Arabidopsis thaliana: one gene and its partner. The protein of the gene in region 1 purifies or fractionates together with the protein of each later gene. This does not show direct contact. Each region holds a gene or a part of one and is shown on either strand. Other genes may lie near its edges.

Region 1 (4,666 bases):
AACAGAACCTCAGTGCTCGACCTGACAGTCACTTCTTTCGACTCTGCCCCTGAACTGCCTTCACTTCTGTAGTCCCTATACGAATACAGAACCTGCAACCTCGAAGGAGCTGCAACCCAAATCATTTTTTTTATTAATTACATAGCTCATTTGTAAATGTAAACACAATCGCGAACGCAAACAAATAATCAAGGTCTAAAGAGAATTTACCTAATCCAAACATGCTTGTTTTCTGAATAGAGACACGGTCGACTTTTGACCTTTTGATATTTCTTAAAGCCAGGGTATCTTCCTGCTTTCCTTTAAACTCGAGGAATTCCCCTAACACAATTTTGCTACTTTTAAGCTCCACTCTGCAGCATAATCAACTTTTAATGAAAACTCTTTGAACAGAACTACTTCATCAAGGGTTCAAGAGATGAGATGTATGACCAACTCAGACAATTTTTAAATTGAACGTCAATAAAGATGAGATGTATGACCTATCCCACGTTGGTGCTGTGCCAAGGATGAAATTAAGTTTTTGATGCGAAGATTCCTGCATCTCTTTTCCGGTGCTGAATGCGCCTTTAACCCAACCAGAAATTTTACTTTTTGATACTGGTTTTAGCTGTTGCCAATCTTCATAGGTAATTACCTCACTCGGGAATGCATGAATTGTACTGAAAAAAAACAAAAAGAAAACATATATTTATGCACCAGTAGGAAAATAAAGAATGTCTTTACAGACCAAGATAGCCACGCCCATGCACGCACTACAAGATGTCCTGTACTTCAAATTGATTGCTTTTTTGTCTACCTCTTGCAAGCAGGAAGATACTGACGGTAGCAAGGATAACGATAACATACCGAAAACTTGGATTGGGAATGACAACTTTGCAAGACACATTTCCTTCTAGTAAAGTAACTCCCCTCTGTTCAAGATATGATTCAAGAACTGAAGCTTGTTTCTTGACCTCCGCCAGCTGAGAAAACACACATCCATTAGTCATAAACAAGATTGCATAGATGCAAGATGCAGGTCAACTTTCCTAAGTCGATAAAAATACAGGAGATTTGATCAAGAGACTTGAAATGAAACGTGTAAGAACGATCCAGGAGAAAAGAAAGGATAACCAAGCACATTCGTATAAATAACAAGAATATTCTGTTTCATAATCTACTCAAGCGACAATCATACTCTCTACTTTGCCAAAACATATACACATTTACAATTCGATGGAGACCTTACATAAAATGAACATATCCAATTCACTGTGGTCGTGCAAAGAGAAAAACCCTATAAGCCTCTAGAAGTAAATCATCAGTGCTATTTTCTCACAATGACATAATTATGCAACAAGGAGATAGCAGCAGAGTTCCAATATATGTATCCTTTACAATCTAGAACAGAAAATTATAGAGAATCACTCACAAGCACTAAAACGACACTCTAATAACTTGGATGTTCAAACTATAAGCATTGTGTGTAATCACAAAGAATCAAACAAAACTTACAGGATCAGGGAAAGTCTCAGTAGTATGATGCTTGCCACCTTCACAAACCCAGCTACCATCACTAGTTACCGTAACAATCCCCGATAGATTCTTCACAGAAATCACTACAACATCTCCTTTAGTAACAAGAACAACATCAATGTCTTGTCTAGAAGCAGTGTCGGCATCTGGAATTCGAAGTCCTACATAAGCTTTTCCACCATAAAGTTTCTCAAGTCTGCAATAACAAATGGAAATCAGAATCAATTTCAGTGGAAATCGAGAATCGAAAAATGGAGTATGGGGAAAATCGGGAACCTGTGAGCAACGGAGAAGAGAGCAGTGGAATCGGAAGTTTCGACGTCGGAGAATTCGTCGTCGTAGAAGAAACGGCGGACGAGTTTGTAGATGACGAGACCGCAGATGATTTCAATCCACATCGTTTGCTTCGTCTTGTTGTTGAAATTTGGGAATTGGAGGATTGAGAGAAAAGAGACGATTCTTGGAAATTAAGAAAAAAGAAAAAACCCCAGCTGAAGTAAACGAACAACAAAGATGCTAAAAACTAACACAAAAAAGTCGGTTCAATCGAGCCATAAACCACAAAACTAACCGGTTTTGGTATCCGGTTTAATTTACAAAACAGTCTTCCTCTTCAATAAAAACCTAAAACCCTAATTATTTTCAATCAGACTTCCACTTTCGAAACCTCTCACCGAAGCTACAATGAGTATCATCGCAGGCTCCTACGAGAGATTCATTTGGGGTTTCAAGCTTAAACCCACGAAGCACGACGCCGAATCTCAAACCCTAACTCTCTCCCCTCTCTTCTCCTACCCTTCCCACATCTCCCCAATCACCACCGTCGCTTGTTCCGGTCCCGCCGCAGCTTCCGGCGGCTCCGACGATACAATCCACCTCTACGACCTTCCCTCCGCTTCTTCCCTCGGCTCTCTCCTTGACCACAATCACGCAGCTTCAATCACCGCTCTCTCCTTCTACACACCTTCTTCACTCTCCTTCCCTCGTAATCTAATCTCCGCCGCCGCAGATGGCTCCGTTGCTATATTCGATACTGATCCTTTTGTTTTGCTTAAGTCGTTTCGTCCTCATAAGAAAGCGGTTAATGATTTAGCGATTCATCCTTCAGGGAAGCTTGCTTTAGCTGTTTATCGTGATGAGTTCTTTGCGATGTTGAATTTAGTTAGAGGAAAGAGGAGTTTTTGTTGTAGGTTAGGTCATGAAGCTAGTCTTGTGAAATTTGATCCTAGTGGTGAAAGGTTTTACATGGTTGTGAGTAATAAAGTTGGAGTTCATCAGTCTGAAGATGCTAAGCTTCTTCTTGAGCTCGAGAATCCGAGCCGCAAGCGTATTCTCTGTGCTACTCCTGGAGAGGTTGTGTTTCTTACTCTTTGGAACCCACAATTGTAACTTTAGTCTCTTAATTGGAACATTTGGCATGTTCAAACTATTGTCTGTGAGTAACTTTGAGATTGTTGGCTTGTTGTTGAGTATTGGTTTACTAAGCTTTCTCTGTGAGTAACTTTGAGATTCTTAGCTTGTTGTGTATTGGTTTTGCTTTGATTGCTGATTAAATTGTTCTAGAGCTGCGTGATTTGGTTTGTCTCTTTTAATGCTTAGTCCTATGTTACCCATGTGTGCATATTGCAGAAGATTCCACCTTGGAACCTTAAAAGAGGTTAATTTAATACTATCAAAGTATGCAACCCTAGACTCTGATTACTCTTTTGGGAAAAGTGTTATAATCAGATAAACTAAAGGTTGCTTCTTTTGCTCAACTGTGTGTTCGGTTTAAGTTTATAAAGCCTCTGAGAGTTATCTCGCTTAATAGAGTTTCTCTTCCTTATTGATGCGGTGCTTGTGTTTTATTTGTGGAAATGGTGATAAATTTGATTTAGAGGATTTGTTCTTTGGCTTACAAATGTTTGCTTAATTTGCAACAGAGTGGAACTCTGTTCACAGGTGGTGAGGATCGGGCTATAACAGCTTGGGATACAAATAGTGGGAAGCTTGCATATTCCATAGAAGATGCTCACCCAGCTCGAATCAAAGGTATTGTTGTGCTTACCAGGAATGATAGTGACGGCTCCTTGGAAGATCCATACTTGATTGGTTCTGCATCGTCTGATGGGATCATACGTGTTTGGGACGTGCGAATGGCGGCTAAAGAAAATACAAAACCATTAGCCGAGACAAATACTAAATCAAGGCTTACTTGTCTTGCCGGGTCAGCTCTTAAATGTAAGTTTATTTTTCAGAATGTGTTTTTCTAAACCATACAAAGCCAATAAACAAACTCCCACAAGTTGTGACATTATGGTTGTTCATCTTTCTCTATGTTTATTCAGCTATGAGACGGCCACAGATTGGAAAGCAGGAACCTCAGAAGGTAGACGAAGAGCATGAGGACTCAGAATAAGAGCTGATTTTTAGTGTTTATTGAAAAATTGTGAGCTGACATTAATTTTGATGCAAGTTTTGGTAGAATCCAGTAGATTCTTGTCGAATTATAATTATAAACATTGTCTTAAACCATAGATTTTGTGAAAGAAACAAACAAAAAAAAAAGCATTCTACTAATATCATTTTACATGAGTTTTCATCAATTTGGACAATCTCACTTATGCATTGTGTTGTTCTTCTCAAACTTATCATTAATGATTATTGGGATACACTGAGCAATATGCAAAAACATACGACATGTTTGCTAAACCATCATCTTGTAATACCAAAAACATGACAAAGATAGAAAAGAGCAGCAAGTGAAGCCATATATATCCATGGATGTGTGACAATGATGACTCAATACTGAGTAGAGTTGTTGGGGATTTTGCCTTGTTTCAATTGAGAAAGAGCATATTCACCAGTACGGATGAGATCAGCGACATTGTGTTTCGAAATCTCCTCAGAGCCAAACAAGAAGATGGTCCTAACCTCAGCTTTCTTCGCAAGTCTTGAAGCATAACTAAGCTGCAATTTTGGCGAGTTAATGCTCCTAAGTAATTGTCGATACAAAGAAAGAACTTTTCCTCTGTTCTTTGCAGCCTCTTCTGCTGTTAACCATATCAGACTCTTCATGGCTTCGTCTTTAACAAAATTGGAAACGAGAATGTCCTGCACATGTTCATTGAGCAATTTTGTCAAACACTTGGTGCGCAAAGAACCAAAA
Region 2 (5,305 bases), 490 kb from region 1:
TTACTTGTGCTTTGTAACCGTTGTGTAATAACGGCTATTACAAGAAAAGTTTATAGATAAGATAAGTTACATGATCTCAAATGTTTCGATGGGTTTTGTTTGATTTGCAAATAGCTTCCTGAGCATATCACGACAGTATTCATGTCTACATTTTCTTTGTGGCCTAATTATTAAATTTAAGTTACCGTCGAAACTTGAACTTGAAACTTTATTTTTGCCAACACGGCAATGAGTTCTCTTGGAACATCTCACATCATCATCATCATCATCATCATCATCATCATCGATATCTGTAATAAAATAAAACAAAATAATGAAAAAGATTCTCTCACATTATCTTATTTCTCCACTTGATTCCCAGAAGACAAAAAAAAAAAAAATCAGAAAAAAAGAAGAAGAGAGAAACCATGTCTTCGCCGAGCAAGCGTAGAGAAATGGATTTGATGAAACTGTAATTTTTTTAATCTTATTATCTTATCAGTTTATTCTTGATTTTGAGCTCCGATTTTTTTTCTAATGTTTGTTTGGCGATTTGATTCGATTTTTTTGTGATGATTTGATGTGAGAGTTTAGGATGATGAGTGACTACAAGGTGGAGATGATCAATGATGGCATGCAAGAGTTCTTTGTCGAATTCAGTGGACCCAAAGACAGTAAGTAACTCAATTCGTCCCGTGAATAATTTAAATCATAGAGTTTTGATTCTGTTTTTTCTTGTTCTTGCTGCTGATGATGATCATCATAGGGTTTTGTGTCAATTTCAACTTATCAGTATCAACTTGTTAATTTTTGGTGATTTTATCTCTGTGTGTTTGTACTATGGACAGGTATATATGAGGGAGGTGTGTGGAAGATAAGAGTTGAACTTCCTGATGCTTATCCTTATAAATCTCCATCTGTTGGTTTCATTACCAAAATATACCACCCTAATGTCGATGAAATGTGAGTTCAATCGAATCAGTAGATCTTTTGGAGGAGTGATTATGTTCCTTCTCCAAATCTTGAGTGGTGCTTATTTGTTATCCCTCTTTGTATGTGGTTATGCAGGTCAGGTTCTGTTTGTCTAGATGTTATTAACCAGACCTGGAGCCCGATGTTCGGTATGATCATAACAAATGGAACAATATACAAGATAGTTTTAACTCCTGTTAGTTTTTGTTATGTTAATTATGATTTGGATTTAGTTATTCAGACCTGGTGAATGTGTTCGAGACATTTCTTCCGCAACTTCTTCTGTATCCGAATCCGTCAGATCCATTGAATGGTGAAGCAGCTGCATTGATGATGCGTGATCGTCCTACCTATGAACAGAGAGTTAAAGGTTAGATATTGAGTTGATTAGATTCTTGTTACCCTACATTATCTTATCTTCTTGCTCGGTTTCAGAGTATTGTGAGAAATACGCAAAGCCAAGGGCGGATACTGAGGAAATGTCTAGTGATGATGAAATGAGTGAAGATGAATATGCCTCGGATGGTGATGATGAAGATGATGTTGCAATCGCCGGTAAACTTGATCCTTAATCCCGCATTGGTCTTGATATGAATCATGTAGCTGGCTTAATAGATGGCTAAACCGGGGATGACAAAAAGAAGCTGGTGACTTTGTATGTATCATGTATATATGAATAATCAATGAATGTTTAAAGGTTCCAGTTTTAATTGAACTGTAAAATCTCTATTTCTCTTGTTGTTTACGTTGTCATTTTATGGTCGTTTAATGTAAATTATTGAAGCTTTTTTAATCTTCATGTTGTGCACCTCTGTTCAAAGTATAGTTTGTTGTAAATTATGAATGGTCTTACAGATTTATCTAATAAAATATTAAAATCACAGTATTATTTAAGACAGAAATGCCCTTATAGCTCAGTGGTAGAGCGTCAGTCTTGTAAACTGAAGGTCCGTAGTTCGATCCTGCGTGAGGGCACCTTTTTACCATTTTTACTATTTTTTTTCTTTTCCTATGGGCTTCTTTAGGCCCACATAATAAATAAACGGCCCAAAATAGCTAGCTATCTCCGCCTCACGTTTTGAATGACAAACACCTTGCCGTTTTCTCAACACTTCGCTATTTTTCTTCAGTCGTCTTCTTCTTCCGGCTTCTCTCGAAACCCTTACCTAAAACCCTAATCCGCCACATCCGTGTTTTAGCCTCACGACGAATCACGATGCAACGCAGACTCGTAAGGTTAAAAAAAGAGTATATCTACAGGAAAAGCTTGGAAGGTGATGAGCGTAAGGTCTATGAGCAGAAGCGGCTGATAAGAGAAGCCCTTCAAGGTCTAGTGATGATTTTTTTTTTCAGTATCTGTTGAAACAATCATTGATTCGATGTGTATTTTTCGTTTTTCTGATTTTGGTTTATATGGTTTAACAGAAGGAAAGCCGATTCCTACTGAGCTCCGAAACGTCGAAGCCAAGCTTCGACAAGAAATTGATCTTGAAGACCAAAACACAGCTGGTAAGAATTTGGAAGCTAGATTTTTCCAATTGGTTTGAACCTGTGATATGAATGGTTTGTGGCATCAGCTAATGGTTATCATCTAATCATGTTGTTACTAGTTCCGCGGAGTCATATCGATGATGAATATGCAAATGCTACGGAAGCAGATCCAAAGATTTTGTTGACAACTTCTAGGAATCCAAGTGCTCCGCTCATCCGATTCACTAAGGTATTGTTTTGTTTAGTTTCCGTCGTTGAATAGATGCTGACGTTATAATGTTCCTGATTCCTTTTCATTGATGGTGTGGTTTCTGTTGCAGGAATTGAAGTTTGTGTTTCCTAACTCTCAGAGAATAAATCGTGGTAGTCAGGTATGTGTGTTGTTCTGGCTTCTGCACTTAAAGTCATTTGGAAATATCTAATTCTCTTTTTTTCTGTAATCTGGTTTTGTTTTGCAATTGATCATTGCTTGTGGTTTCTTCATCGATGTTGTTAAATTGATTGCCAATGGTATTAGCTCCCTTTTGTTTCCTGGGTATAACTATTGCATGTGCATAGACTTGTATCAGATTATTGTTGAATTTATGCGCAACACTGGTCATATCAATGAATTGCATATTAGATCAAGCTTTATAATTTAAAATGTAGTTGAGTCTGTCCAATTCTGCAGAATCTAGATTTCAAATAAAAGCAAGACTAATATAAACGATCATTTAAGCTGGAGTTGTACTGACACTTATATTCAACACAAAACCTCTCTATGTAAGTGTAACACGGAAACTATGTTGCATTCGAATCGTAATCTAAGTTTCTTTCCCACTCTGTTAATTTGCAGGTCATTTCTGAGATCATTGAAACTGCTCGTTCCCATGATTTTACTGATGTTATATTGGTTCATGAGCACCGTGGTGTGCCTGATGGTCTCATTATCTCTCATCTCCCATTTGGACCAACTGCATACTTTGGATTACTTAATGTGGTAAGTAACTCTTTGAGGATCTGATTTTTATATCCAAATCTTTCTTCTTTCAACTCCTAGTTTAGCCTTTTTACTTAATCCAAAGTCCCTTCTGTTTAGGTAACAAGACATGATATTTCAGACAAGAAATCCATTGGAAAAATGCCTGAGCAATATCCTCATCTCATTTTTAACAACTTTACTACTCAGGTATATCTCTAGAGCCAAAATTCACTTCGTTCTTACTGTAATTTGGTATTGGAAACCATCAAGCTTCGTCGTGTCTCATAGAATGATCGCTCTGGTTTATTCATTTCTAATGTAAACATATTTTCAAATTTGATTTCCCTTTGTTTTGCAGATGGGTCAAAGAGTTGGAAACATCTTAAAACATATCTTCCCTGCTCCAAAACTGGATGCAAAACGTATAGTTACTTTTTCTAATCAATCCGATTATATATCATTCAGGTAAAATTTTCTCACAATGATCAGATTTTACGAATTTTAATTGGTGACATCAATTGTAGTATGCAAAGCCTAAGGTCTTAAGGCTTATGTTAGCATTTGGTAATCTGATCCACATAGAAACAGCATGTAAGAACACTGTAAATACAACAGATGGAGATTTTTATAAATTCTTGTGGGTATATATATATAGGAATCATGTCTATGATAAAGGAGAGGGAGGTCCAAAATCAATCGAGCTTAAAGAAATCGGTCCTCGATTTGAGTTGCGGCTCTACCAGGTACGCATTCTGCTTAACCGAATCAAAACTGTTTTCCTCGAGTAAAATAATGGTTTGATAAAGAATCATTCTAGTTCCTTAGTAACAATGTTGTTTCTGTGTAATGCAATTATTTTTGCAGGTGAAATTAGGAACTGTGGAACAAAATGAAGCAGAGATCGAATGGGTTATAAGACCGTACATGAACACCTCTAAAAAGCGCAAGTTCATCGGTGAATGATGACTAAACGGAACAGCTTTGAACCCTTTATCTAAATTCTGTTTTACTTATCATTCTGTTGGAAGAGCTGTTCAGTTTTTGTGTCCTTAGAGAAAATTGCGATGATTTTGTTTTAACGTTTAGCTTATAAAAACAAAACTTTCTTGTCTTCAATTAGTATTTATCTTCAACCATATACTGTTGCGTGAGTCATAATAAAAAATTTTGTAGTAGTATTTTTATCCACGAATTCAAACAAAAATTATCTGAGCAGCATCGAAGTGCTAAAAGGTATTGGAAAATGGATAAACACAAAATTGTCAAAATTCTAAACTATAATTTTTATTTTTTAATTATAAATATCTTTCATCGTGTTGTTATATATATATCAGTCCCAGGTTTCGTCTCATAGTTTCAGTTGTGTCTCTTTCATCTGATCATCGGATCTATCGGTAATTTACTTCTTCGTCTTCCTCAGATCGATTTGATCTCTGTGAAAGTCGCGAAATCGAATTTTAATTTCGTTTAATCATTTGCTTGCTTCCCAGTTTTATTTTTGTTTTTTGTTAATATTATATCGAATTTTCTCGGCCATATTTTTCATTTTAAATTCTATCCATTAGTTTTATAAAAGTCCATAACTTACTGCTCTGTGTTTTCTCTTTTGATTCTTCTCTGTTTATAGTGAGTAGAGAGAGTTATCATCTAGGGTTTATAGATTGGAGATTTTAGCCGCAACAAGGAGGAAGTGTTTTTAATTTAATTTTATTGTTAAGAGTTATTGTTGCTTTAGGGATTTTTAGAATTTGGGTGTTCTTTTAAATGGCTCGGTTGATAATTCCTTGTCGAAGTTCGTCTCTGGCGAGAGTCAATCTTCTGGGTTTGCTCTCTCGTGCTCCTGTGATTACCCTTTAACTCTTTTTTTTGTTTCTTTTGGTTATAGATATAGAATGTTGTATT

What was found.
Region 2: the proteins of AT1G65030 (region 1) and IMP4 fractionate together in Arabidopsis thaliana (co-fractionation; one large-scale study listed by BioGRID). This does not show direct contact.

What each region holds. Positions count from the first base shown.
Region 1 is NC_003070.9:24,154,596-24,159,261, forward strand, and holds AT1G65030 (Transducin/WD40 repeat-like superfamily protein), read left to right. Parts: upstream 1-2,076; 5' UTR 2,077-2,202; coding exon 2,203-2,871; intron 2,872-3,440; coding exon 3,441-3,738; intron 3,739-3,845; coding exon 3,846-3,916; 3' UTR 3,917-4,080; downstream 4,081-4,666. Other genes in the region: AT1G65020 (plasma protein), read right to left, coding at 1-109, 211-353, 483-662, 850-965, 1,498-1,714, 1,795-1,916; AT1G65032 (COMPLEX 1 LYR-like protein), read right to left, coding at 4,300-4,575.
Region 2 is NC_003070.9:23,664,106-23,669,410, reverse strand, and holds IMP4 (Ribosomal RNA processing Brix domain protein), read left to right. Parts: upstream 1-2,038; 5' UTR 2,039-2,167; coding exon 2,168-2,279; intron 2,280-2,376; coding exon 2,377-2,460; intron 2,461-2,561; coding exon 2,562-2,671; intron 2,672-2,762; coding exon 2,763-2,813; intron 2,814-3,277; coding exon 3,278-3,421; intron 3,422-3,520; coding exon 3,521-3,610; intron 3,611-3,761; coding exon 3,762-3,868; intron 3,869-4,058; coding exon 4,059-4,146; intron 4,147-4,267; coding exon 4,268-4,366; 3' UTR 4,367-4,581; downstream 4,582-5,305. Other genes in the region: UBC5 (ubiquitin-conjugating enzyme 5), read left to right, coding at 408-451, 574-653, 828-942, 1,048-1,100, 1,193-1,321, 1,387-1,523; AT1G63770 (Peptidase M1 family protein), read left to right, coding at 5,168-5,245.